Linked DNA regions of Schizosaccharomyces pombe. The gene in region 1 interacts genetically with each later gene. Each region holds a gene or a part of one and is shown in the gene's direction. Other genes may lie near its edges. The genes, in order: mef1, ubr11, txc1 and SPOM_SPCC18.17C.

Evidence for each region.
Region 2: of mef1 (region 1) and ubr11, extra expression of one rescues a mutant of the other (dosage rescue), as found in Schizosaccharomyces pombe (one large-scale study listed by BioGRID).
Region 3: of mef1 (region 1) and txc1, extra expression of one rescues a mutant of the other (dosage rescue), as found in Schizosaccharomyces pombe (one large-scale study listed by BioGRID).
Region 4: of mef1 (region 1) and SPOM_SPCC18.17C, extra expression of one rescues a mutant of the other (dosage rescue), as found in Schizosaccharomyces pombe (one large-scale study listed by BioGRID).

What each region holds. Positions count from the first base shown.
Region 1 is NC_003423.3:1,176,273-1,183,301, reverse strand, and holds mef1 (mitochondrial translation elongation factor G), read left to right. Parts: upstream 1-2,815; 5' UTR 2,816-2,909; coding exon 2,910-5,222; 3' UTR 5,223-5,426; downstream 5,427-7,029. Other genes in the region: protein Trm734, read right to left, coding at 1-457, 511-1,159, 1,213-2,258; translocation subcomplex subunit Sec66, read right to left, coding at 5,863-6,441. UniProt on the Schizosaccharomyces pombe protein: Mitochondrial GTPase that catalyzes the GTP-dependent ribosomal translocation step during translation elongation.
Region 2 is NC_003424.3:3,699,171-3,708,945, forward strand, and holds the start of ubr11 (ubiquitin-protein ligase E3 Ubr11), read left to right. Parts: upstream 1-3,321; 5' UTR 3,322-3,624; coding exon 3,625-9,775. Other genes in the region: mde6 (muskelin), read left to right, coding at 1-140, 189-368, 412-667.
Region 3 is NC_003423.3:963,406-970,496, forward strand, and holds txc1 (poteasome interacting protein Txc1), read left to right. Parts: upstream 1-2,874; 5' UTR 2,875-3,305; coding exon 3,306-3,929; 3' UTR 3,930-4,340; coding exon of another isoform or gene 4,341-5,199; 3' UTR 5,200-5,261; coding exon of another isoform or gene 5,262-5,362; 3' UTR 5,363-5,486; downstream 5,487-7,091. Other genes in the region: SPOM_SPBP35G2.17 (uncharacterized protein), read right to left, coding at 550-870; shugoshin Sgo1, read right to left, coding at 4,341-5,199, 5,262-5,362; SPOM_SPBP35G2.04C (uncharacterized protein), read right to left, coding at 5,603-5,860, 6,046-6,466, 6,559-6,629.
Region 4 is NC_003421.2:1,984,434-1,990,786, reverse strand, and holds SPOM_SPCC18.17C (proteasome non-ATPase regulatory subunit), read left to right. Parts: upstream 1-2,611; 5' UTR 2,612-2,647; coding exon 2,648-4,114; 3' UTR 4,115-4,453; downstream 4,454-6,353. Other genes in the region: fum1 (fumarate hydratase), read left to right, coding at 65-157, 687-2,156; riboflavin kinase Fmn1, read left to right, coding at 4,845-5,336; dph7 (WD repeat-containing protein), read right to left, coding at 5,905-6,353.

The sequences.
Region 1 (7,029 bases):
CAAGACCACCAGTGGAAAATAAAATATCATCGCTAAACCAGGTCAGCGATTGGATTCCTGAATTATGAAACTTGACAGAATTCAGAGGAATTATGTTTCCATTACTCTGAAACTCAAGCAGGGTTACTTTAGTATCTTCAGATCCTGATAATAAAAGATCCCCTGAAGGATTGAAATCCATTGCTCGAATCTCACGCCCATGCAAACCATTTTGTAATACAGAATTTCTTTGCAAAAGATTTAAAGCAGTGCTATAAATATAAAGTTGATTTGCTCTATAAGATGCAAAACTTTGAATGTCCATCTCCATTGAAAAAGCCCATGGACGATGACTACCTCCACAATCAATAAAGAAAACATTAGTTTCATTTGTCTCATCCCTTAAAAAAAAATTTGATGCATGAAAACCCCAAACCCATTGATTTTCCTTTCCATTTTTTAATTTTTTACACAAACCCTAGCATATGTTAGCTGAACCATGAACCGTATATTCTTAAAGATAATACTCACCCCGCTTAGTATACCATCACAACATTTTTTCGAACACAGCTCCTGAGGAACAGCACTTTTTTCTACCCTCGGAATTGAAAATAAATTGACATAACCATCACGTCCGACTGTTTGAATTAAGAGGTAATCACGTTTTGACGACTTGATGTGAATGGATGAAATTGCATCAAATTCATGAATTCTCCTCCATACAGAAAGGTAGTTGCTTTCACCAATATTGTACAAAGCCAGCGATCCTGTTCGAGAACCAATTAAAAAATTTGAATATTCTTCATCAACTGTAAGAGAAGTCGGATCAAATGTTGCCGGCAACTCCAGTTCTATTGTTGAAATTAGGTTGACCTTATCGGCTTCAAAATCAAATTCCTGTAAGTAAACTCGAAATTGGTTTTTTCCTACAAATGATTTTGATAGTAGAAAATATCTTTCTTTAACTTGATAAGTAAGCAGTTGCTGAATCTTTCCCCTATGCAAATCAATAGCTTTTAATAAATTCGTATTTTGATATGAAAACACATATATAGTACCTTTGTTGGAGGCAGCAGCAACAAAAAAAGAGTTTTTCCAAGAACGAATTATAGACATGTCCGATGTGGTAGTCAAAGCAGGAATAGCTTTTTTTCCTTTATTATCTATAATTGACATTTCTCTAAATTAATTGGGTTAGACAGATGAATATTTGATAGCATGCAAATCGCTTACCCATTTTTGGCAAGGCATAATAATTTTTGACATTTAACAAAACAAAAAGAAGCAAGCAAAGTCTTTGAGGTGAACAATGAGGATACTGAGATGCAGGATTCCTGAATACGAGTTTTGTAATCCCAAGACCTAACTGATCCATCATTTCCACCGGTATATATTATTGGGTTCGCAGAGGAGACAACTAGTGACCATATGTGTTTCCCGCGATGACCAGTATATGTGTAAGTATTAGTGAGCGTTTTATCATTCCAAGTCCAGAGACGTAAGGTCAAATCTTCAGAAACTGTGGCTATTTCTTTGTTGGGTAGAAACACGCAACGCCAAACACGAGCTGAGTGACCAAAGCCTGTCGCTATTAAAAAGGGTGACGACTCGATCGACCAAAGCCTTAGGGTACGATCTTCAGAAACTGAGCAAAGGTAACGTCCATCCGATGAAAACTTGAGATCAAAGCAAGCACCTTCGTGTCCAACAAGGTAGGTGTCAATGGAAACACAAGAAGGTGGATTGTTATAATTGAATTTCCACACGTAAATTTGCTGAAAAGCGGAAGCAGAAGCTATGTAAATTTCATTTCCACTTATTTGTACCGTTGCGCAAAACAAAAGAGGCGTTTTCTCGCAAGATATTGTATTTGTAACTTCCCACGAACCTTTACTTAACGAAAGAAGATGAACTTGATTTTTCGATGTAACGACGCAAAATTTATTTTCTTCACCAAGCTCCGCTGCATTAAATATCCAGTCAGATATACGGTCATAGTAAACTTGGCTCGTTTCAACATCAACAACTGCAAAATAGGTTCCTCCCCAAACAAATAATCCTTGTTTACAAGGAAGCATTCCATGTATTCTATTATGAAATGGAAGTAAAATTGATTTAATTAAATCACTTTCGTGTCGACTTTCAGAAACATCGTAAATTCTTAAACAAGGTCCTTGAGCACAGCATAAAAACTTATCATTGTGAATAAGGGCCAAGCTAGTAACAGGACCCACAAAGTTAACTGGCTCTAAAACACCTTTATCACCCTCAACAAGCATTCTTAAACCCTTCTTAGATTTTTAAGTCCAGATTCTTCAAGCTAAATATAATACGCCGTCATAAAAACCGTGAGAAGAATTAGAAAAAAAATGGTATTAACCGATTAAGCAGTAAGGATTGAATAAGCTCAGCTTAAAAAACTGCAAAGAGCAAAAAACCCTAGTAGTAGAAATAGATTGCGATGGTGGTGAGGTTCAAACCGATTGTGGATACTAGAAAAGCGCGCTTTCTGATACAATGCCCAAAATACTTCATGACAAAATAGTTGTATTTCTTTTATAAGTACTATGCTTGGACCGCCTCATGAATCATTTAAACATGGAGATACCGAATACAGAACGAAGTCGCTTTTTTCTTGACGATAAGCAAGCTACTTTTAAATAATCAGCAACATTCAATTGCAAATACATATATATTCTCCATATAAAATGTATATTTTGTTATTCATTAAAAATGCGTTAAGTAAGTATTTGATTTACGTTTAAATAAATTTAATATGTTACCGCGGTAACTCGCGACACGTAAACAAAGCGACTTTGCTCCTCCCACCTTGCTCGACGACTCTCACCACCTCAGCGTGTTCCCAAAGCTAGGAATTTATTGTTTATGTTATTCATGGCTGTTTTTATATTCTATTGAAATAATATAAAATGCTAAAATTATCATTTAGGTCGCTGACAAGCCGCCTCCCCAGACTTTCTACTTTAGTCGTCCGTGGTTACGCGTCAGTAGCAAATACGGGCATTGAAGCTTCTAATACATCAGAAAATAATTTGAATATCCAAGAACAGTTGAATGATAACGATAAAAAGCGACTTAAACAAATTCGAAATATTGGAATATCTGCCCATATTGATTCCGGCAAGACTACCTTTACTGAAAGAGTTTTGTACTATACAGGAAGGATAAAAGACATTCATGAAGTCAGAGGAAAGGATAATGTCGGAGCAAAAATGGATTTCATGGAACTTGAACGGGAAAAAGGAATTACCATTCAATCGGCTGCTACCCATTGCACTTGGGAACGTACTGTGGATCAGATTGAAGCTAACGAAAAACAAAAAACTGACTTTGAGAAAAGTTATAACATTAATATTATTGATACACCTGGTCACATTGATTTTACCATTGAGGTGGAGCGTGCCTTACGTGTGCTAGATGGTGCAGTGTTGGTACTCTGTGCTGTCTCCGGTGTTCAATCGCAAACTATCACAGTTGATCGACAAATGCGCCGCTACAATGTCCCCAGGATCTCTTTTGTTAACAAAATGGATCGTATGGGTGCAGATCCGTGGAAGGTCATTCAGCAAATAAACACAAAATTGAAAATTCCCGCTGCAGCTGTTCAAATTCCTATAGGTCAAGAAGACAAACTTGAAGGTGTGGTTGATCTTATACAAATGCGTGCAATTTATAATCGTGGGTCGAAGGGTGAGAAAATCGAAATTTCTCAGCAGGTTCCTGAGAATCTTATTGAACTAGCAAAAGAAAAGCGCTCAGCTTTAATTGAAAAGCTTGCCGATTTAGACGAAGAAATTGCTGATATATACGTAATGGAAGAAGACCCTACACCTGAGCAGCTTATGGGAGCTATTCGTAGAACTACACTTGCAAGGAAGTTTACACCTGTATTAATGGGTTCTGCCTTGTCCAATGTTGGAGTTCAATCTGTTTTGGATGCTGTTTGCGACTACCTACCCAACCCTTCTGAGGTCGAAAATATAGCTTTGAATGCAGCAGACTCAGAAAAGCCAGTATCCCTTGTTCCTAGCAGTGAGAAGCCGCTTGTCGCTCTTGCTTTCAAACTCGAGGAGGGAAGGTTTGGCCAGCTCACCTATTTGCGAATTTATCAAGGTACACTCAAGCGGGGTAATTACATTTACAATGTCAATTCTACAAAAAAAATAAAAGTTTCACGCCTCGTTCGTATGCATTCCAATGATATGGAAGAAATCGAAAAGGTTGAAGCTGGAGGGATTTGTGCGTTATTTGGTATCGAATGCGCTTCTGGAGACACCTTCACGGACGGTTCCGTATCGTATACTATGACTTCAATGTTTGTACCAGAACCCGTAATTTCACTTTCTTTAAAACCGAAGAGCAAAGATACAACCAGTTTTTCTAAGGCTTTGAATCGCTTTCAGCGTGAAGATCCCACTTTTCGTGTGCAGTTGGATAATGAATCGAAAGAAACCATCATTAGTGGTATGGGTGAACTTCATTTGGAAGTTTATGTCGAACGTATGCGTCGTGAGTACAAGGTTGACTGTGAAACGGGTAAACCAAGAGTTGCATTCCGGGAAACTCTTTCCAAAAAGGTACCTTTCAGCTACCTGCACAAAAAACAATCTGGTGGAGCCGGTCAATATGCAAAAGTAGAAGGGTACATTGAATACATGGATGGTGTGGAAGACGAATCTGGAAACGTTGTTGATTGTGAATTTATCAACAAAGTTACCGGTGGAACAGTCCCTACGCAGTATATTCCAGCTTGTGAAAAAGCTTTTTACGAAGCATTGAAAAAAGGATTTCTCATTGGTCATCCTATAAAAAATTGCAGGTTCGTTTTAGAAGATGGTGCTTATCATCCCGTTGATTCCTCTGAATTGGCATTTCGTTTAGCCACCATTTCTGCTTTCCGTACAGCTTTCTTGCAAGCGAACCCAATGGTTTTGGAACCAATTATGAACGTAAGCATAACGGCGCCTGTTGAACATCAAGGTGGTGTAATTGGTAATCTTGATAAGCGTAAGGCGACTATTGTCGATAGCGATACAGACGAAGATGAGTTTACGTTGCAGGCGGAGGTCCCTTTGAACAGCATGTTTTCTTATTCCTCGGATATACGAGCCTTGACTAAAGGCAAGGGTGAGTTTAGCATGGAGTTTCTCAAATATCTTCCAGCACCAAAATATGTGCAGAAGGAACTTGTTGACGCGTACAACAAACAACAACAAAAATAATTTTTGAAGTCCGTTTTAAATGAAGCAACAGCAAAGTTTTTGGTAACCAGTCATTTCTATTTAAAAAAAAAAATTTTGATCCACTCTCCTCTTTACTAACGCAGCAATCTACATGCAAATAAAAAAAATAAATACCCAGATTATTACCATACAAGTAATGTACAATTTTTTTTGTGCAAGATAGTTCATGGAACAGAGAATGAGTATATTAAAGAATATGAAGAGTAAATTATAGACCAACTTATAAAGGCTGAGCTCTTAACGGAGACATTTTGGCCAGAACATACATTTGAATTCCAATAACTTGTTTTCAAATAGTGCTTTTTTCTTTTTCCTTCTTTCTTTCCATATTTTTGTTATTGGTTTGGAAAAAAAAGGGAGTAGGAATAGGATGATAGATAATATGAATAGGAAAAAAGTATGACTTTCAATATAAAGGTAAGGACAGTGATAAAGCAAGCCCCCTTTATGGAGTCTATTACTGAATTTGATTTATGAATGAGTTCTAAGGATTATTGTATAAAATAGGAATTTTAGTTTCAAAGAAAGAAAAAGATAAGAAAACGTAAAACATCAGATGCAAGAAAGAAACAGGAAAAAAAGAATAAAGGCACATACGAACATCTTTTTTTAAAACAATTTATAGCACTCCAAGTTCTTTTTGGGCTTGAATACGCAATTCCTCATCAGCGGCTTCATACAGAATTTTTTCGGTTTGCCAACGTTGCGAAATAGAATCAATGTCCTTGGGAATATTATCAATTATGCTGTGAATTTTTTCGTTTTCAATTATTTCATTGCAAGTTTGGAATATAAACTGATTCCATCCAGGCTGCAATGAATTGGCAGTTTTGGCAATATCCATCAACTCCAATTCAGTTTCCTTTTCCAAACGACCAAACTTACGAATTAGCTCGTCACCAACGCCGCCGCGGTTGAGCAAATTATTCAATGCCATTCTCGATACTTTAAGCTTCATCAATCGACGAAGACCTTCTGTAGCCCGTAAAACGAGAGCAGCTTTCAAAAGTGTATCCTCGGCAGGTGGATTCTGCTGCAAAAGACTGAAAAATATATTTCTAGAATAATTTTCTCCAAACCATTCTTCTGATACTGGTTTTGATTCCTGATTTTTGGATTTTCGCACAAAACGAGAAACTCCATACATAGAGCCCATTAAAATGGTAATATATATCAAGGGAACGTAAATCGACACCATATTGAATTAATTAACACGGCCAAGTATGTAAAGCAAGCAGGGACCTTTTTCTTTAACAACTCGTATACCCTTTTTGTATTATTTGTTTTTTGCAGAGTGGACTGCAAATATGTATATGAGATATAACTTCGAGACCAAATGAATGCAAGACCAGTTTAGGTGTGAAAGGAGAATAGTGTGTTTTCTGGAATGCTTTATATTTTATAAGGTTGATGTAATTTTCTGTTATTTGTAGATAAGAGATATTTATGTTTTCTTAAAGACGCTAAAATATTTTACGCGATGCGCTATTAGATAAACAAATCGATCGGATATTGTTCAATTGTTTGTTTAAACTCAGGTAAAAGTTTTTAGAATTAGAAATGAAAAAAATTTACTAATAGGGAACTAGGATAATAAACAATTGAGCATTTTAGAAACAGATTTTGCGACCATTGTGAAAACTGACGAAACATATAGTTAGGAAGACAAAAACACCTCATTTATGAAATTATTTCTTTTTTTCAAGTATACAAAGGATCTTTGTATGTTCTTCTATATTGTTTCTGTAGTTTTATTAGTATTTTTACATATCGAGGCATTGGCATT
Region 2 (9,775 bases), on another chromosome or scaffold:
TTCACTATGTTTGGTTTTGAACAGCGAAACATTCACAAAGTCCTTCGACCAAGTTTATGGATATTTTACATAACGACAGAGGAATGGGTTAAAATAAGTGATATTAATGAAGAAGAAGGAAATGAACATCCTTGTTCCAGGTATGTCTTTGGGAAAAAGGTAAATCATCTGACGCTTAATTTTAAAAGGTTTGGACACGCAGTCGCGGCTGATTTGAATAGAAACATTATATATTTAATGGGTGGAAATGCAAGTACGCATCCTTTGAGACCAATGAAGCTTTCAGATTTCTGGAAACTAGATATTCTAGATCGTTGGGGGATAAAGCATTGTCTATCTAATGTGTCTCTCCAGTTACACTTGCATCGGTATGTACTAAGTATCGACATCAATCAACTAATCATAATTTAGCTTTCATGAACTAGTCTCTGAAAATCTTGCTAAGGCAGTTGAGTACCTTCAAAAATCTATGCAGCCGCAATTTGACAAAAGTCCTTTATTTTGGAATGCGCTGATTTTGGATGCTTTTAGTGGAACGCATAAAAACAAAGATATTGCACAAAGAAGATTTGAAACTTTTCAGACAATATATGATTTATTACCGGTTGATGAAAATACTGTTGCACCGAATGAATCCCTCTTAAATATGATTGAATTTTTCACTTGAACCGGATTGAAGGGAATAAATCTTCCAGTCAACCAATTTACTACGCTAAATGTTGGTTTACGAAAATATCAGGCTCTCTGTCATTACCTGTAATTAGGTTGTGTTTCTTGATAATCAAATGTTAGCTGAATTTCTAGGATAATAAACTCTCATATAAATTTAGATAAAATGAAAGAATATATACCATGTGAATAGTCAAAAGTATACGAGTAAATAGCAATACCAATTCTTCTATAGTAATAGTGTATTAGACGCCAATATTATTATGATTATAATGCGAATTTCGCCTTTCCCTGATGCTACACGATACTAAATATTCACAAGAACAATAAATAATTTATTCATCTTTAACCAATTTAATCGCAATTTATTTATGTTGCATACAAAGGAATGAATATTCATCATGTTTGTTAATACCACACTTTCTTTTCGATTTTACCTATACCAATACTAAAATAGGCACGCGAATTCGAAAAAAAAAATATTCAAACTAAGTTATTTTACGTAGTTTTATTTAAATAGAAGGTATATGCGTATTTTATTTTTTTAAAAAAAAAAAAAAAAAAAAAAAAAGTTTATAATAGTAAATTTTTTTTTATGACACGTGCGAATACGATCTCCATAATACACTGAATACTACAAAAAAAAAGAACAGCTTCTTATCATTAAACAAATATATATATACAACTGCAAGTTTAATTGCTAAAAACGATTCGTACTTCCAAAAATAAATATTCATAAATAAATTGTACTCAAACTTCAATTATATATTATTATTCGTTGTTAAAACCGTTAAATAACATTAGGAATTACTGAAATGTCAGAAAGGGGTCATAGCTCAGTGGTTAGAGTGAGGGATTGCAGATCCCCAGGTCGCTGGTTCAAATCCGGCTGGTCCCTTTATTTTTACATTATCCTAGGTTTTTGAGGAAATAATTAAATTCAATATCCAAGGCTGATAAATCCATGTATAAATGCTGTTTGTTATTTATTCAATTTATACTACTGATGCGGCTTTGCGCATTTGCATTGTATGCATCTTTGCTTGCAACACTAAGTAGCGATTTCTCGCTTGGCTACATCTAACGTACGATTGATAATTTATTAGCAGAAGAAACTAGGGTAGTGTAACAACATACTCGAATGATAAAAGTCGTTTGATTAACCTTAATGACAAACGTTTAGCAGAGATATTCAAAGTTGGACAAAGTGTAGCAAGATAAAAGTAAGCGATAGCTGCACCTATTCAATTAAAAAAGCTTTGATTGTTGCACTATAAAGCGTAGTCATATAGTGGTCAATACCCTGAACCACTTTGTATGAGAAACTAGGTATTGGAAGCAGAAAATGAGGAGAACTCGGATATTAATACCTATTCCATTTTTGCTATGATTCAGTCAAGCTAATATGAACGACATTCATTTTCTGGCATTCATCATACTTTCAATATTGGTCTTGCCTTTACAATTTATTAAGTGATTTCTTTCCAGCTTGTATCTGGTATAATGTTGTCTTATTCTGTAAATCTCACTACCCGATCGCCATCTTTGTTCCAGAGAAAATAAAGTAACTGTATTATACTTGCTATTTTATGTTTCAATATTATACTACTTATGTGCTTAAGAAACACTTGACATTGTAAATATAAGAAAAGCACACTAACTTACCACTTTCTAAACAACATATTACATATTACTAATTCAAGAAAGCCGACAACAGTCGCAATGGTGTAGTTGGGAGCATGACAGACTGAAGATCTGTTGGTCATCGGTTCGATCCCGGTTTGTGACACTTTTTTCCTTTTTCCCTAAAGAAAGATCAGCAATAATTGTTGCTAAATTTATTTTAAACACACTAACTATTCCCGTCATGTGCCAACTTAATTAGTTGGAAAGAGTCGAATTTAGCCTCCGTGCTCGGCAACAATGTAAGAGCAATTGCTTTTATTTGCTAACAATACTGCTGGAAAACTAATGAAATTTAAATAAACTATTCCCATGAAGTAATATTTATTTCTTTAAGGTTATCTATTATTTTAAAGCCTTTTTCAACATTTAACCCATTTTTCAAGCCATCAACTTTTGGCCCTACTTAAAGTATTATAGTATAGTATAGTAAAATATAGTGTGCGCATGCTACTGTTTAACCTTGATATGATTTCCATGGGCCCGAAGTATTCAAGCGCTCATTAAAATCTACTATGCACTGCGATAACAATATTTACTTTGAAATCTTGGGGTGTTAGATAATTGAGAAGTTTGGGTAATTCAAACTCGATGGAAAATTATCACCCAAAGGAAAAAATTTTAATTAGATTAAAAAGGATAAATAGTTTAAGAATCTCGAGCTGGATTACTCTAGGGTGCATATCTCTTACTTTCCAACTCATATGATGGTGATTCCTATCTGGCAAAGGATGAAATCAAGCCCACTAGATCGAAACGAAAAAAAGCAATCAACACATATTAACACATATTAAGAAGAAGGAAATAGGAAATTGAATTGAAAGTAAATGGCTTTAAAGAGTTGACTACAGCTGATGAATTTATCAAGCTGGTGTCATTTTTTGGTATCTTCAATTGGCTACTGATACAAGAAAGGTGACGATGTTACCTGAAAGTAGTATAAATGGATTTTTGGCAATGGCAAGAAGTAACTCGCCATTTAGGTATACAAATCAGAAATATTAAGAAGGAACGGTTTATAGCTGCCAAAAATATTTTTAGAGAAATTTGTTTCAACAGAAAAGTTTAAAGAAGGTAAAGGAGGATTGGAGTTTGCTTTATTCAACTGAATGCTGTTTCAATTACTTCCCCAATTTTCTGTTGATGAAAATTTGTATATTCCGTGGCTTTAGCGTGCCTGTTGTTTATTAAATAGCTTTTTTAAACCAATTTAATTATTGAAGAAAACTTTGCGGCCCAAGATCTACTTCACAGAACCTTTCCTATAATTTCATGCAATTGCACGACCCGCCGGCTCCTCTTTCGCAACCATCGGCTTCTAGGTTACAAAAATACCTTCTAGAAAGCGCGGAAAAGCATGCATACGATTCAAATGAAGAATCAAAAACGCACTTGCTGCAAGAGGTTTTCCTGTCGTTGCTGAATTACAACGAAGACAATTGGAAATATTTTCTCAAAGAAAAGCCAGGTGCCATTACTTCTGACTTTCGTCTCTCGAGGCTTCAGCACTCTGAACCCGAATGCGCCCAAGAATTACAAGATAAACGTTCTGGGTCCAAGGTTTGTGGCCACGTATTTCGTGCCGGCGAGGTGATATATCGTTGCAAGAACTGTGGGCTAGATAACACATGTGTTCTTTGTGCTCCTTGCTTTCATGCCACAAACCACGAGGGTCACGAGACTCATGTATCTATTTCAACCTCTTATAGTGGAATCTGCGACTGTGGCGATCCTGAGGCATGGAATGTCGACCTTAACTGCAAGATACATAATGTCCCCGATGACGAGGAGCAGAAAAAGCCAGAAGAAGTGATCCCACTAGAACTTCAACACTCTATCCGTACAACTATTCATATTCTTCTTGACTTCATTCTCGATGTCTTTTCTTGTTCCCCCGTGAATCTTAAAGCTCAATCTACTGTCGGTAGCATCTTAGCAGATGAGGAGGCCTCTCGTCTTAGCAGCGCAAAGTATGGTGTAGCTGATAGGCCTTGCAACGTTTTCCGTGTAATGCTTTGGAACGACGAAGTGCATACCTTTGACGCTGTTGTAGGTAGTGTGCTTGAGGCGTTAGATTCGTCAAATACGGCTTTTGGACTTGAAGTCGCTCAACGTGTTGATTCTATTGGCCGCTTTGCTGTTGCTACATCGGCTTCAGTTCACGAAGCAATAAGAATCGCGAACGCTATTTCAAAAGAAAACTTAGCTGTTAATGTTCGTACTGCCCGCGATTTTTTTCGCGAAGATATTTGTGGTATTCTATTAGAATGGTTCGATGATCTTCTAGAATCACATGTTTGCTATTTTGCTGATTATTTACAAATTATCGTTTGCGATGAAATTTTGAAGAACTGGTCTCCTGGCCTTGAAAAACCTGCTAAGCCTGAGGTGAATTTTAATAACCTTCCTCTGGAGATTGTTAATGACGATGATAGCGAGGATGATATTTATGCCGCAGAAGAACTTCTCGATGTTATCGCAAACCTTCAAGATGAAACAGGTGTAACTAGAATTGCTAATTTGGGTGGTGATGAAGATTTTGAAGCGGATATGACCGATCCTACTATTGCAGGATTTGATCATCCACTTGATGATGATAACGACGTAAATGACCTTCTGGATTTTGAAACAGAACGAGAGGATATTGATGATTTAACTGATGAAGTTATGGAGACAGAAGAAAATGAAGCTGCTGAGGCTGATTATCCTGGTGTAAACCGAAACACTCGTCAAGACGATGTTCAAGATATTTCAATGGAAACCGAAAGTCAAAACGAAACTGATGAATCACAAAACACTGAAAATGTAGATTATAATCCTCAGACGCATACTCCTGTACCTATTCCCACTACTGCAACTCAGGATGTCGTTACTATTCGCCCGGAGTTTAACTCTCAACTCCTTAATAACCTTCGACAAATCATAAACGCTCGTCGTAGACCCCGCCCTGCTGCGGTTTGTCAAGTATCTCTTCGTGAGGATTATTGGAAAAGTCCTCATCCAATTCCTCCTTCGTCATATAGCTTCGTTGAATCTCCATCTTCCATTCTTCGTTTAGATTACTTTTTGCTGTTTGATCTCAAATTTTGGAAACGGTTAAGAGGGCTGCTCTCAAAATTGTATGTTGTTCCTTTTAATAGAAATCTTCTATTTAAGCGTCTTATGGGTATACGTTTCGTAATCCATTATAGGTCTCTCGCTACAGCGTTTCTTTTTGCAGATAGAGAGCCAGACCACTCTGTCATGTTTCTTTCCGTTCAATTTTTCACTACTCCTAGTCTTGCAGAAGCCGTTGTGAAAGACTATGATTTTTTAACTAATTTAAACGCAACAACTTTAAGCTTACTAACGCAGTCTAACCGGCCGTCAACCCTTTTTTCTTCAGACATTGAATACACTCCCACAATTCAGCTAAACCGACAAGTCTTAAAAACCCGAAGGACTTACAATTTGTTTAGTGATCTCGGATACTTACTTCAACATCCGCAAGTCAAAAAGCTTGTAGTGGATGATACGCGTTATGTTCATCAGTATATTGATTTGTTACGGGTGTTCCAAGGTGTGATTCCACAACAACGGGCAATACTCAGTCACGTACAGTGGGATTTTCCTCATGGGAAAAATATATTGTTTGTAATGCAAAGGGTAGCTATGCTCAGTAACACTGTTTCATCTTGTTTTACACAAGCACCATATGAACGGTTGTTTTATGCTATAAAATGTATCATAACTTCCATCACCCACCCTAAATTAGACATTGCAGAGTCTCTCGAACCTCTCTCTTGTATTCCCTCTTCATCTTTGACAAATTTTACACAGCCCTTAGTTCCGTTTTCCGTGTCGAGGGATCCTATAAGTTTTTATCATCCTCTTCACTGGATGCTTTCCAATTTATTTTCATATTGTCGTGTTGACGCTTCTTCTCATTGGGATAAGGATACACTACTTGCTCTTCTTGACCATCCTTTGAGGGTTTGTGTGCTTTTAGCTCAAATTGATTGTAACCTTTGGATAAGAAATGGGCGTAGTATTTTATTAACTGACGCTTTCTATCGTCAACTTAATAACATCGAAGTTTCTTATGATAAGGACATCCTCGCTATTCAAACAATATTAATGTTTGTTGATCCAAACTTGGTTTTAAATGCAGTTGTTCAAAGATTTGAATTTACTGATTGGCTTTATAATTTGACTTATAATGAACATCCCAATTACGACACGGAAAGAATACCAGCTATGTTGTGTAAAATGTTAGAGTTATTAATTGCCCTTATAACAGAGCGCGAACAAATTTTACATGTTGATATCCAAGATATTATTCGCACTCGATTAGCTCAACAGCTATGCTTTGGTCCTCTTGCTTATTCTGCATTGCTGTCTACTATTTCAAGTAATTTAGTAGAGAGTTTGTCATTTGATAAAATTCGAGAAGAAGTAACTTCCTACAAAGCACCTGACGGTCTCCACGATTTTGGCGTTTACAGTTTGAAGGACGAATATTATGATTTGGTGGATCCATATTATTTTCATTATAATAAAAATGAACGAGAGGAGTCAGATACTATCCTTAAAAAACGTTTGGCGAAGAAAAATAATGTAAGTGCTGAGTCGATTATAATAGAACCAAAAATTAGATTTCTTGAGAAGGACGGCCATGATATATTTTTTGCAGCCGTCAATGCGAGCACTTTTAGTCTTATCATTTTTCGTGCGATTGAGTATGCACTTGTTCAAGCGGAGTCCTTTGGATCATCCGATATTGGAAATACTATTCTGGGCGATGCACTTCAGTTGTGTCTAATCTCTATGAAAATTCATGAATTCTCGAAATCAAATGACTTCTGCTCCCGTTCATGCGCTGAGCGTTATCCGACTGATAGTAGTATTATGAGAGAATTTGGTGGCAGTGCGTACTGCTTAGCGGAACTTTGTTTTGCAATTCTCAAGTCTCCTAAATACAAAGATGTTCATGTAAAAGTTAATGCTGTATTGGCTGGCTTACAAAAGAATGATCCATCTGCATATAGCAACATGCTGGAAGCTACACACTTTGAACTCTCAACTACCTCTTCTACTTCGGATTCTAACGAGATTGAGAAAACGCAGGAAAAGAAAAGATTAGCTTTAGAGAAACAGAAGAAAATTATGCAGCAGTTTCGCGATCAGCAAGCATCTTTTCTTGCCCAAAATACCGATTTCGATATCGGAGAAGATCAAACGGAAGATGAAGTTACAACAGAAGAGCCAGAGGAGGAAGTTAAGTACCATGAACATATCCGTGGTAATTGTTTGCTTTGCCAAGAGGAATGCAACGATCAAGCACCATATGGAGTGATCGGCATTATTCAAGGAAGCTCATTACTTCGAAAAACAGATGTTCACAGCGAAATCATTTTGGATGAAATTTATAGTGTTCCCCCTAATTTAGATAGGGAATCTCATTCGAGGCCATTTGGAAAAAAATATGATACAGTTGTTTTCAACCGTTCAAAAGATCGTTTATTAAGTGCTTATCCCCCAGGAAATAACATAAGAGGTGTTTTTGTCTCCGGTTGTGGTCATCTCATGCATTTAGGTTGTTTTAAAAACTATTACGTTGCTAGGTCCATGTATAGAAATGATGTTACCGCTGGGTTAAGTGAATACTATTACAAGTATTCTACTGCTAAATTTTTTATGTGTCCTCTCTGTAGGTCATTGTCGAATGTGTTATTGCCTATGCCTCAGATCCCCAAAATGTGTCTCAACATTGACACCCTTAATTTCCCTCGTAGCATGAATGGTTGGTTAGAGGAAATCGGTACTATGTCTTCCTCGAGCTTTGAATATCAATTAGTTCGAAGTTCTCTGTCCGACACGAAAGATACTTTTAGAAGCTGTTTCCTGAGACCTTGGATAAACAGCAAAATTATCTCGGCAATGCTTGCTCGCTTAAAGATAGCCGATGGTGCATTAATTGATCAAAGTAATAATCGGGACGTATCCGACCTTTATGATCGATATTGTGAAACAACAAAATTGGCTATGAAATTGGTTAAAGGAAGTACATTTACGAATGTTTCACCTCATGATTTACTGAACAGTTTGGCCTATACCGTTTCTTCTCTAGAAGTTAGTCAGAGGTGCTCTCCGAAACAAAGTGGAGCAACTCGATCGGTGTGGTTCAATGAACTGGGACCCCTAACATTATCGTTTTTGCCGACTTTATCTGATACCGTTTTGAAGTGTGTTTGTGATCAGATCATAAAATCTGACCAACAAGCCCTCTTGTTAATGGAGAGCCAAAAACTGTTAGTTTGTAAAATTTTCTATCGTCACTCGCAATTAAAGTCCATGTTGAGAAATGGCCGGATGTCTGACCATGATCAAATTCAACCGTTTTTGCTTTCAAATACTTTCGATGACTTTGTGAAAATTTCATCTTTAATGCTAATCTTTGGTAAACAAGATAATATTTTGTATTACGTTAAGCTTTTCTATCTTTCAGAAATTTGCAAGACAATAATTTCTATGATAAAAGTGGTTGCAGATTCATCGGTCGTTCCTGATTTAACCATTAATTATAGTCAGCAATCCAAGTCCCAATTTTATATTCTATGCAAGAATGTACTGCTTTGGTGTGGTTCTTCAAATAACATTGAAATTTTGGATGATGAGTCTAATTTACTTCGTTTAATGTCTTTGGTGGAGAAGTATTCTTTACCGTTTCTCCGACGAGTTGCTTTGGTATTATATTGCATGTTTGACATTTCACTCGAGTTCAATGAATTCTCCAACAATGAAGATGACAGTGAATTAGAAAGGCTTTCCAAATTAATAAAAGTTCCTCCTTTACAAGAACTGTATTCTCAAATGTCTTCTGATGAAAATAATCAGATTTTGGAATTAATCGCTGGCTGGTGTGAACACTTAGCTCAAAATACATGGGGTGATAGTACTATATCTTTGGAATATCCTGGCATATATGAGCTTGTCAAATTACCTCACAGGCTAGAAAATTTAATTGATTCGATGCAAGAATCAGTTTGCTGTATGTGCCATAAAACTCCAATCCTTCCTGCAATTTGTATGTTATGTGGCAGTGTCATCTGTTTTAATGCTCGACAGAATACGGTTTCCAGTAGGAGACTAACTGGGGAATGCAACAAGCATGCCGCTACGTGCACCGGTAGTGTCGGCATCTTTTTCATCACCAAAGCATGTGGGATTTTGTTGTTAGACTCGATCAGTAATACAGGCACTATCATGCCCACTCCGTACTTAGATATTCATGGTGAAACCGATTTGCAGCTTAGACGTGGTTGTCCTCAATTTTTGAATCAAAAACGTTATGATTTTGTTGTCCGTGAACAATGGCTGCGCCAAACGGTCTTACAAAAAATGGCTCGTCATATGGATATGACGGAAATGCAAAACTGGCGAA
Region 3 (7,091 bases), 210 kb from region 1:
CGAATACTCTTCTACTCACTTTAAGCGACCTTTCGCATCATATTCTCCGCCTTTAAACCCCAAAAATACATGTGAGAAGACAGTTGTACGCCAGCTCACAACAACATGATGCTGATCGCACATCTTTGGACTGTAAAAAGAGGCACCGATGCAGTCAGTAGCGGAGCAAAATGGAGAACCATGGTGATGATGACTTTTTTTCAACGAGAGATTTAAGGCGATAGGTGGGGTCGAAATATAGCATGTATAAAGATGTGCAGGGCAGGGATGAAAAATTAAACTGACGGTTGGGAATGAATGAGAAAAAAAAGAAATTAGTTTAAATTATAATAAAATAGAATAAAATAAATGGAATTCAATAATAGAGAACTAGAGAAGTAAAAATAAAAAGAGAAAAAATAATAAAACAAAATTTACACATGATAGAGATATAAATATATTTCACTATTAGAGAATGGTTTTACTTTTATATATCTATTTATTTATTTATTTATTTTTTTTCGATTTCTAACGACAAAGTGCGAATCGTTTATTGATTATACATTGTATTTATGATAGTAGGTGAGCAAACAACCGGAACTCGAAAAATATTTGCGAAAACTTGCGTACAAAAAGATGAGTGAATTCTAATAAAATGAAATGACTGTGGCATGATTGATGTTTTGTTTCCCATGTCTCAATGAGTAGCATCAAAATTAATTTTACCTGTTGTCCTTGTGCGACACCCATAGCGGGAGAACTAGCTAAAAAAGAAGTGAAATCTCGTTGTTGTTTCACACATTGTCTTACAATTCCATGGAATGACTTGATTCTGAAGACGGTCGGAAGCAACTTTCTGCCTCGACCGGTAACGTAGAATTCACGTACCATTTACTTATACTCATGTAACCTTGTTGTAAGTGTTTGGGATCTTTGAATCTAACGTTCGCGGGATCTAGCACGTGTTACTCTGTAGTTTGCCACGAAGCAATAACTCCTCAGCAAAGAGCTAGGATGCAACACTCTGCCAACAGTAACAATCACCAACTGTAGTAGCTACTGGATCCGATCCCACCTGTGCTTCCTCTGTAGGTATGCAAAACATCCCACATAGGTACATCTATCCCACATTTTCACGTACCCATCCCACATGTATCCATCCTACATACATCCATGTGCTTTGCTATATGCAGAATACAATAGTGCTAAACGCATCAGAATCTTTTGGAAAAATTTTAACCTACTACTGGAATTCATTCATTTCATGAAATCGATTATTAAAGGACGTATGAATCTTGTTTACAAACCCATGAGGGTCTTTTTTGCATACTATGTTTTCAATGATTTTCCTTTGATCAGATAACGAACGCTGCGTGTTTCGGTTATGTGCTAGAAAAATCGCATTCCAACAAACGAGTAAAAATAGAATAAGATGGTTTAGTAATTAAACTCGAGAACGAAAAAAAAAATAAAATAAAAAAATAGAAAATATCGTATGTACGGCTTCTCAAGAAAAATTTTTTTCAAGTTCTTTTTCTTTTTTTGGCTCTAAGTAGGTAAGGCGTATTCAAATCAAAACTCCTTTCCCACTTTTTCCCATGTCTTCCTTGTTTTTCTTTGTTTTTATTTTTCTGTCAAGTTTCTCCTTTTTGGGACATTTATTTACTACTTTTTCCAGAATCTTGTATAAACACCCTATTCCATATGTATCTAGTACTATCCAGTGCAGCGGGACAAAGAGAAGCGTAGAGAAAAAAAAGCCAGTTATGCAAAAATCAGGATATTCGCTAAAGATATCAAGATGCAGATCATTCTCGTTTGTATTTTTTTTTCAAGGATGAAAAATTAGAAAAATAAAAAAAAGTAGAGAAAGAAAATGCAAGAACACTTCTTTGGTCATTTTTATTCAACATCGATTTTCTCATTAAAAATTTCTAATCCTTTCATGCTTTGTTGAACCAGTGAGGCATTTTTCAGTCGCATAAAAATATCAACAACAGGGGCGAGACACGGTTAAGGCAAGGGTTAACAGCGGTTCAGGTCCTTTTGCACGGATTCATGTCCGTAGCGACATTAGGAGTAAACCTTAGGAATATAAAAGTCAACCAAAAAATAGTACGTTCTCTTTCTTTCTTTTTTTTTTTTTTTTTCTCTAAATAATCAAATCCATAATGTTCAATCCTCCCACACCAATGTAATCCCGAATGTACGCATATCCATGTTTCTCTTAATAAACATTCACCATGGAAAAGAAAACACGTTACATATGGCGTGCCATTTCTTTCTTCAATGTAAAATTATACAAAGTTATACTTTTACGCTACCCCCAGCCTTGGCTTGCCCTCCCCCACCCTTCTTTCCATGACTTGTTTCACATCTATAGCGAACCTTTTCCCTTGGTCTTGCTTTGGTTGTCACCGTATTTCTGCGCTGTAACTTTGTCACGTGTCACCGTTCATTATTCTTGCATGTTCAAGCAACCGGTTTTTATCAAAATCCTATACATATATATTGTTACAATGAGCGCCACACGGCCCACATCCTACCCGCCTGGATAGAAACAATGTTACCAAGGAAGAACTTTGGTGTTGTCTTTTTCATGGGCCTTTTAGCTTAGTTGTTCGTATGCCTTGAAATTCTGTTCCTCATACAGTGCTACAAAAGTCTCGCTAATTTAACGTTGAAATTTCTACACTTTCTTTCATCTACCACGTAGAAATTTACGACTGAATAACTTTTTTTTGCGAGAAAACCAAAAAAAAAACAAAAAGGCCCCTTTATATTTATGTATAGATTTTCTTTTATTTATTTTTTAAAATTCTGGTATTCATACTATTCATCGAATATTTTCAAGTTGGTGTTTAAAAGTCAGTAAGGAGGTTGTTTGCTTATACTGTCAACGTTTCTTTGGTACAAAAGTGAGTTTTCGGTTATTGTCTCAAAATCAAAATTTTTTAAAAAGCAATAAAATAATTCATCGTTAAAAAACTACTTTTATATTCTTTCTTTTCAGTTTTGAATTCTGATTTTGATTCCATTTTTGTTTTTCTTTTGCTGAAGACTAGTAAAGCTTCTAAGAAAAATATTTTAACGCATAACGTACTTCTGGTCTCGGGAGGCTTTTTCGCCATATTTTTCCGCTTTTGGTTTTCTTCCTATTAGTTGTTTTGTTTGAGTATTTGCTTCCGAGTGTCGGTCTTACGTCTTAGTGTGCTCGCAAATAACTTTCCCTTTTACTTTTTGTTAGCGAGTTTACCGTTTATTTATTCACCTATCAACTCGCCTAGTCTTGCATTTTTAACGATTTCCTTAGAAGTTTGTACTAAATGTCTGGCCCTCACCATTGTTCCGCTGACTGTGATGAACATCCGTTTGAGTCTGGTCCAAATGATACCTTGTATTCTTGCATCCGAAAGGAATCAATTGTTACGCTGAATGAAGCTGTACCAGATTCCGGAAAACTCGTCTTCAAACCTTGGGACCTTCGTTATGATGACACTGATATCGTAGAAAGTGATGCTGATGACCAACTCTTGTTTCAGGTACCGTTTGCAGGTGCGGCAACACTAAAATCAATTTTGGTTCGCATTTTTCCTAATGAAACCGCTCCACACTCCTTTTCACTTTTTCCCAATCGTACCGACTTGGATTTTGACACAATCGGTGATGTCCAAGCCACTGAAACATTTGAATTTCCCTTGACTTTTGAAGGAAGCCATATCTTCGAGTTTCCTGTTAAGACTCGTCTCTATCAAAACCTTCAAAATCTCAATATCTTCTTCACCAAAAGCGACGGTTCTGATGATCCTACACAAATCGCCTACATTGGTCTTCGTGGTTCTTTTGTTCCCTTCAAGGGTGATCCTGTTGTAACCATTTACGAAGCTACTCCTAGACCTTCAGATCATCCCAAAGTTAACCAAGAGGAGGTTTTCCGTTCTTACTATTAAGCTCCCGGGAAGTTTAGATTCCTTCCTTTTGGTTTTTTCCTCTCTTATTTGAGATTTTTGTTTTACCCAAAGCAAAATAAAAAATATATATGAAACGATACGAATACGCTTTGATTTGGATTTTTTTTAATGACGGTTATTTAAAGAATATCTAACGCCCTTTTTCTTTTCTTTTTCTTAAATGGCTAAGTCTCCATACTTTTTTAGCTTATGTTTAAATGTTGGTTTGTATTTATTGGCCGATTAATTATGTGTTTATGTAAAAGAAATGAGCCTTGATTAGGTTCTTTTTTTCTTCCTCTATTATTTTTTGTTTTTCTCTTGAATTTAAATGTTGCTTGCAGTAGATTAAATTATAAATTAGCTGTGCTATAAATGTGAAAATATTTAACAATGTGACCTCAATATAATTTATGCTTTGCCTCTGGGATGTCGTTTGCGTTTTCTATCAGATGGTAAGTCAAAGTCTCGTCGTAGTTTAGTTCGCAAACTGGGTATTGCATAGTTTATCACTTTGACTGATCGTCTTAGTTTTTCACGTCCATTAATCCTTGGTTGAGATTCTTCAAAATCACATGGGGAGCTGTCTCCGGTTGCTTGTCCTTTAAGGTCAGTTATCTGTTCAGCACTTTTACAAGGAATACAAACACAAACATTTGATGTTTTAGCCTTTTCTTCTTCAGTTTCGCCCTCGTTGATGGATTCAAATTCGTTTTCTTTTAATTCCTTTGAAAAGATGGTGATATTTTTTTGCGGCAATGAGTAATTCACCTCATCTTGTGGTATTTTGTTTACGTGGGCATTGGTTTTATCTTTTAATATACATTTTCCAGGTTTTTCAGATAGAGCCGGAGGACCATGGACTTTTTTTTGGAAATCTTGAAAACAATACAATGGTTGCCCTGTTTCGAGACTTTTAAGTTCATCATTAAATGATACATACTCCAAGCGTTTATTATGCAAAATCTGATAATCTTCTTTCGAATCTTTATTTTCACAGGTTGTAAATTGACTTTTTACATTCGCTTCGAGGAAATCTGATGAACACTTTTTCTCTATAATCTTCAGTAAACTTTGCACTTGTGAAATCTTTTTGTGAATGGTTTGTATCTCAGGAAAGAAGTTTTTTAACAAGTCCTCAGTTTGAGATTGATTGCGAAATCGAGCTTCAAGTTTAACCAAATAACTTTTCAAAGTGAAATTTTCTTGTATCAAATCTTGAATTTCGTTTTCAGATTCTCTAATTTTTATAGAAAGCTGAGTATTTATTCTGAAAGTTAGATGTTTATTATTTACCACAAGGGATTCAAAAATGGTGTACTTTGACCTTACTTTATAATTTCACGATTTTGTTTTAAAAATTTCTTTTTCAACGACTCCATCGGCAATTTATCTTCATTGTTTATATTTGAATTTATAAATTGAAAGTTCATAGCTTTTTTAAAGCTTTTTTTGCGAAAAGCAATTAAGGACTTGCTGATGTAAACAAACCTGTTAAGTGTAAGGTAAACAATCGCAAACTAAAGTCTTGTCATATTGAGAAAGGCTCTTTTCTTTAAGGAACTTGCCAAATCAATGTAAATTAGTATATAATAAATTAGATGAAAGATGGTTGTACGACTTAATGCAGCCCATATCCTGAATAAAAATTGATAAAAAGAACATAAAATTAATTACTGCTTCGCTATCCGACAATATCCATCCAACTCCTGAGAGATTAAATGTAATATTCGACGAATTCTTTCATCAAACTTTTGGAAATAATGATGCAATTGTGAGAAATTAGATTCGTCCGTGGTCTTTCCTATTGCTATAAAGTTAGAGGACAAGGGAGCTTTATACTTTTTGAAAACACCTCTAAAGAATTCATAAGCTTCCAGTATACTGGTGAGATAACCATGAAAAACAGTACAAAAACTGAGATCGTAAGTCTAAGTAAGTAGTCGGTTAGTATGCATCATTAAGAAAACGTGTTAAACATTGGCATATTATATCAACGAACGTTGAATTTAACTACATGCAAAGGTATAACATTATCAACCCTAAAAATTGCAGATACGTCTTTTGGATAAGATCCCTTACATAGTAGTCCGCTTAAAATTTATGTAAAACTTACTATAGGTAAAAGCTCCATGTTCTTGCTAGCATGGTCTTTTCCAAAAGGGTATCTTATGCTGTCTAATATTGCTCGAAAATGTGAAATGCTCCTGGTCGTAACGTAAAACCCTTTTTCAGTCAACAAATAATTCCGAAACTCAGCCGTAGTAATATAAATGGAACGAGCAACGTCTTTAGCATCGCCATCGGATTCCTGAATTAGACATTGTATGTTTCTAGCATGAGATAACAAAGCGACCGTTCTAACTGTTAGCCATAAAATGGTAAAGAGTTTCTTATAAAAATGTAATCGTATTAAAATGGGTAGGTTAATACCAGATACGAACCTTTTTTTAAAATTGTTTCTAACCATAAACGAGTCAAGTGCTTTTCGGTCAAGTGAGACTCCATGGAAGCGAATTTTATCATTTTTAGAAAATCTAATAAAGTTAGTAAGTAAACTCATAAATCATTCACTTTAAATTTTAAAACTTCAGGCGACAAACACAGAAATTCTTATAATTACACACACATTTCAAAAAACTTGGCTATATATGCTTCATTTTTATTAATTCTATCCTCAATGGAGCTATTAGATATCATATTTCGAAGCCGCTCTTGTCAATTTTAGACTCAAATCGTTTAACACACATGCACATGCATGTGCACGCACTAAGAAGTTAGAAAAGGGAGATCTATTTAACACCTGATAAAACTTGGGTTAAAACTTCAAGTCTACAGTCTTGATACGAAATTATATCTACGCCATAGAGAAAAAAAAATAAAAATTACATACTATGGTTTGACAGATTTTAGCGTTAGTTTTTGAAGAGGTCGTATACAGCATATTAGGTATACGCTGCAGTAATTATAACCCAATAAGTCAAAATTTTTTCTTTATTTGTTGCTGATTGTTTCCTTTACTAAAAAGGGATTTACCATTACTCAAAAGAAATTACCTAGTTTCCAATAAATCATATGGCATTTGTCCAGTTCAAATACTTTAAGACACGTATAGTTTATTTTTTGAATGTCCAGCTAAAAAATATATTACACGAATCAGTA
Region 4 (6,353 bases), on another chromosome or scaffold:
GTCCGTATCCCCGTAAAATTTGCCTTATTCAGAAGAGTATAATTTTCTTTTTAAAATAACCCACATGGCTTCTGTTGCCCACATCAGCACGGCTAAAGCGATTTTTCGAGCTGGCGGTTTGCCTTGCAGAAGATTGATTACCCCAACACTCACTGGTGTAAGTAAATTGTAATTTGTGTTTTAGAATGAGACTCCGTGAAAATCGGTTGGAGAGAGAAAAAGTCATGAATGTTGCGAAGTAGTTACCTATTAAAAAAAGAAGAGTTGCTCTTCGTACTTGTTTTCTCTCTTTTTTTATTAAATGACTACTTGCTAGTTTAACCGTTTTGTTAACCGTTCATTCCATAACTCTTGTGATATGCCTTGTTTAGTCGTGCGTTATCCCATTGAAACGCATGATCCACTAACACCACGAAATATTATTATGAAAAGAATAAGTTCAGTGTTTTGATGTGTCGGCATTTGTTTTTGTTGTAATGCTCGAATACGGCTGAAGAAATTGAAGAATACACTTCGTTTTTCTGTTTCTTTCGTTGGTTCCATCTACTCTTGCGAATGAACAATGGCGTGGCACAGAGTTCCAGCTTTCGCGGTTTCAGCAAGATGCAGCGGTTGAGTCACATCTATTTCGCTTTACTCTATTGATTTATGCAATTTGCGTATGACACTAACTTTTTATTTTTTAGTTACCTCTAAAAACTCATAGAATGAATTCCACTACTCCGACTTATCATCTCATTCCCAAAGGCGGTAAGCATGGCGAGTTCCGACAGGAATCTGACACCTTTGGTCCCATACAAGTCCCTGCAGAAAAGTATTGGGGTGCTCAAACTCAGCGTTCTCTTCAAAACTTTCGAATTGGTGGTGAAAAAGAGCGACTTCCTCTTCCCTTAGTTCGCGCATTTGGAGTTTTAAAGCGTGCGGCTGCTTCTGTTAATCGTGAATTCGGTTTGGATCCCAAACTTGCAGATGCCATTGAACAGGCTGCCCAAGAAGTCATTGATGGTCGTTTGGATGATAACTTCCCCTTGGTTGTTTTCCAAACTGGCTCGGGCACCCAATCCAATATGAACAGTAACGAGGTAATCGCTAATCGTGCCATAGAAATCCTTGGTGGTACGTTAGGTTCGAAAAAGCCCGTTCATCCAAACGATCACGTTAACATGTCTCAATCTTCTAACGACACTTTCCCCACTGTTATGCATATTGCCTCTGTTTTGCAAATTCACACTCATTTACTTCCTGCCATGAAGCACCTCCACCGGGCCTTGAAGGGTAAGGAAGAGGAGTTTAAGAACATTATCAAAATCGGTCGAACCCACATGCAAGATGCCACTCCTCTTTCTTTAGGTCAAGAATTTTCCGGCTATGTTACTCAGGTTGGTTATGGCATTGAGCGCATAAACAACGCTCTTCCTCGTCTTTGTCTTCTCGCTCAAGGTGGTACTGCCGTGGGTACTGGACTAAATACTTTTGAAGGATTTGACGTGAAGGTTGCTGAGAAGGTTTCAAAGCTTACAAATATTGAGTTTAAGACCGCCCCTAACAAGTTTGAGGCTCTTGCAGCCCATGATGCGATTGTGGAGATGAGTGGTGCTTTAAATGTTATTGCTTGTTCTCTTATGAAAATTGCTAACGATATTCGTCAACTTGGTTCTGGCCCTCGTTGTGGTTTAGGCGAATTGATCCTTCCTGCTAATGAACCTGGAAGTTCAATCATGCCAGGCAAAGTAAACCCCACCCAATGTGAAGCCTTAACAATGGTTTGTGCTCAAGTAATGGGCAATCATGCCACTATTACTGTCGCTGGTGCCTCCGGACACTGTGAACTCAATGTTTTTAAACCTCTTTTAGCAAAGAACATTCTAAGCAGTATTCGTCTTTTAGGGGATGCTTGCGAGTCTTTTACTGATCATTGCGTTGTCGGCATTGAGCCAAATTACGAAGGTATTGCCCGTCATCTTCGTGATTCCTTGATGCTTGTTACTGCGTTAAATCCTCACATCGGTTATGATAACTGTGCCAAGATTGCCAAGACTGCTCTTAAAAATAAGAGCACTCTCAAGCACGAGTTTGTTACTTTGGGTTTCGGTACCCCCGAGCAATTCGATGAATGGGTTCGCCCTGAATTAATGATTTCAGCTAAGAAAGTATAATTTTTTACCACTCTACTTGTTGGTCCGTTAATATTGGATCATCAGTTGTTGCTCTTTATCCTTTTTCATGCTCTTTATCCATCCTTCTCTTTTATCTTCTCTCAACTTACTTTTTACGAAAATCATTCCCCTTCTCATAATATTAACTAGCTTTTTTGCAAAAATACCCATTATGTTAAATGAGTTTTTTTTTCTTGCACAAGCCATAGGCTCTCAAACAAAATAGTAGGCACTCATTTAAAAAAAATGGTTAGTTCGTGAAGTAGATTAATGCGTAATTTTGATTAAGTGTTTCTTTGTTTTCCACCCCTACAGTTATAGTCGTAAACCAAGAATGCAAAGGTGTTTGATACCCTTTTCTTTGTATGTGTATTTCCTTGATATTCGGTTGCTCGGTTAAAATTAAGCTTACTTAAACGAGATAAAATTGCCTCTTGCCTGATTTCAGCCGATCCATCGCCAATATACGGGATCTGTTAAAAACAAGCCAAATGGATAGTATAGAACTCATACCAGGCTTACCAGGACCCGGTAGAAGACTATTACAGTTATTGAAAGATCTCCCTTCAAACCCGTCGGTTATCGTTCGTGAAATCCCTGATGCCATAGATGCGTTCCGTGAAAGTATAACGCCTGCTACAAGGCCATCATGCTTAGGACTCTTGGATACCATACTTAGTTGTTTTGAGCTTCCAATACCTACCGAGCCGATTATGAAGGCTTTGGGTAAGCTGCTTGAGCCAATGAGTTGGGCCGATTTGAAAAAGTTTGGAATTGAATCTTACTTGGTTACTGGACTTGAACATCCTTCTACAGATGTCGAAATCTTTTGTCTGCACCTTATACGCCGTGCAAATTGGGAAAAGAAGGAGATTGGTGAACCACTGTTTGAGGCGATTATGGCATGCATCAACTCTCGAAGCATAGCAGTTTCCGAAGAAGCTACTGTTTTGCTATTCGATATGGCAGATTTTCCATACTACTTTAATTTAATTATAAAGCGTTTTACATTTGTTGACTATGAAATTATGAACTCTACGCTGAGGGTACGCTGGTTGACACTGTTCGCAAAACTGTCTACGAAGTCTCCAGAATATTTGGAAGAACTGATTAAGGACGACAAGCTTGTAATTAATGGTGACAATAAAGACATATTGCTTCAAATTAATTTCGTGGATGTCCTTGGGATAATGTTAGAGGCTCCTTTTACATACGAGTATATAAGTTCTGAAAAAACAAAGTATTTGGACACGATCGCTCAAGACTACAAAGGTTCAGCGGATTCTTATACGGATCATATTGGATTAAAGTTCCTTCCCAGGCTCTGCGAATTGCATCCAGACGCTATTAACTCGTTGGATGAGAAGCATCAACTATTTGACGCTGTTCGCGAGAGAATGAAGACGAACGATGCTACATCTATTCTTCTTTACGGAGTTTTTTTGTCTAACACAGTGGTAACTCAAGCACTTATCAAGAAATATGGCATTGAGGACGAAGCTAATCGTTATGTGCCAAGATGGTTGACAAGACGATTTTTGATGGACGAACCGGGTATGTCTTCTTTTGCTCATGCTCTTTTACAGCCTGATCATAATTTGTGGATGCAGCTTTGGAGAATATTACCTCCCAACACCTTGAGCACTTTAGTAAACACTGCTTCTTCTCCGATTCCTCGTTCTAGGCAACTAGCATACCAATGCTTGCTACACATTGCTCAAAATTCGCCTATCCAAATTGCTTCTGAAGGATTCGCTATCCGTCATTTACTTGAAGCAGAAGGTGACCATGAAACATGCTTACTGCGGTTTCAAGTGTTAAAGACCATGATGGAATCTCCTCATGGCGGACCCAAGCTACCTTTTGGTAGATATCGGGAAGACATTCTTAAAAGACTACAGCAAGGGCCGATTGTTAGCGGTGCTTCAACGTTAAAAGTGGCCGCAGAAACTGCTTAAGTAGTTTACAACTATTATATTCCAAAAAATCTTGCTTTCTTCTATTATTACAGCAAGCAAAATTTTCCCTCTTTTTCGACTTCCTTAAACGTCAGGTTCGTATGCCGCTTTTTTTGAAATATGATGTATAAAAAAAAATGGCTGTTAGCTATAGGGATAGTGTTTAGTTTCTTAACATGGATATTTATAGTCCTATATATTTTCACAAATGGAAAGCTTTTATGAATTGCAATTTCACTTTCACTTGGCAGTCTTTGGGGACGGAATTTATGGATGCCACCCAAGGCCTTTTGTCAATCTAATAATTATGCAATTGTCTACTTGTTTCTCAAAAAATTTAATTAATAACTATTTTATTTTGTGCCCAGAACAGCGCTGTAAAACTGCTTGAATACCAAGCGCTATTATATTAAGGTTAAATCTTTAATTCCTCTTGAATATCAAACGCAAGTTTTTTATTAAACTTACGAATTCATAATAGAGTTAAACAACCGTTGAGCATTTGTGGTTATTACCAACCTTGAGATTTAACCATTGATGGTCAATGGTTGATGAACCAATTGTTTTATTATTTTTTTGTTATTCATAGATATCAACTAAACTAATTTAAAATAAGCGTAATGGAAATATTTGTCCAACATGACTCTCTTCATTAGGCTGAGCTACGCTTACTAACTACCTACTTCCACTAGTATTTTTCCAATTGCGCTAGCAACCTTTGATTTACTCTATGACAGTTAATTTAGAAGAAAAGAGGCCTGAAATTGTTGGTCCTGAAAAGGTGCAAAGCCCTTATCCTATTCGCTTCGAAGGGAAAGTTGTTCATGGCTTTGGTAGAGGCTCAAAAGAGCTTGGAATTCCAACTGCAAATATATCAGAAGATGCAATTCAAGAGCTTCTTAGATATAGAGATTCTGGTGTTTATTTTGGATATGCTATGGTACAAAAACGAGTATTCCCCATGGTGATGAGTGTTGGATGGAATCCGTACTATAAAAACAAGCTACGAAGTGCAGAAGTGCATCTCATAGAAAGACAAGGTGAAGATTTTTACGAAGAAATAATGCGTGTTATTGTTTTGGGATACATTAGGCCTGAGCTAAATTATGCCGGTTTAGATAAATTAATCGAAGATATACACACCGATATTAGAGTTGCTTTAAATAGCATGGATCGTCCTTCTTATTCTAGCTATAAGAAGGACCCATTTTTCAAGGTATAAAATACAATAAGATCCTTAAAAGAAATCTTTTTGTGTACTTTTACTCATCCTTGCCGCTGCCAAAATGCTTTAATAAATCCTGCTGTATTATTCCTTCTTTAATTTCTCTTCCTTTTTGTTAATAAGTATTTGGTTAGATTGGCTTTTGTTTTTTAAATACATTTTGTTAATTTCAGATGGCAATGACTGTAAAGATTTACAATTTTGTGAACACAATAGTACTGCCATAATCGTACTTAAACTTTTTTTATTTTAATAAACATTTATTGTATTTCATTGATTATAAAGAACGATAGTATTTGGTCGGATGAGAATGAAAAAAAAAAAAAAACAATGAAGGAACAGAGACAGGTGGAAGAGAGTCAGTAAGTAAGAAAAAGAAGCGAAAACAAGAACGTAAATGATCATTTTTTCTGTTTGTAAAGATAAAACAAAGAAATGGAAAAGTAACGATTATGAACAACGTTATTCTACACAAATTTTGTATAGCAAACATGCAAAAAAAGAAAAAGGAAAAAATATGCCCGTTATTCTCCTCCCCAAAGTCTACTAAACAAACGAATGCATGCTAAATATCTTCCCAAAGGCAAACTCTTTTATCATAAAACGAGCAAGTAGCAAGTAGACCATCGGTGTGACGCCAGTCTCCTCCGTAACACATGCTTTCATGCTCCTTAAAAATGCGTTTGCTAGCATCAATTGAACTAAAATCATTAGAGATTCGTAAAACTTGAGCACCACGATGCATTAAAATGCCAAGGACTTTATGATAATTTTCAGTAGTCTCCATGTGCTCAAGACGCCATACACCACCACCCAGATTAGCACTAAAAAGTGGCTTTCCAATATTTCGGGTATCCAACGTATGCATAAAATCTCCATACTCGCCAGTAGCAATATAAGGACCAAAGGGGGCTCGAGAGAGGATGGAAACAACACCAGAATGATGAACTTGAATGTCCCTCCAAATACATGAATTGGGGATTCTTTGATCATAGCAAACAAGAGCAGCATCGT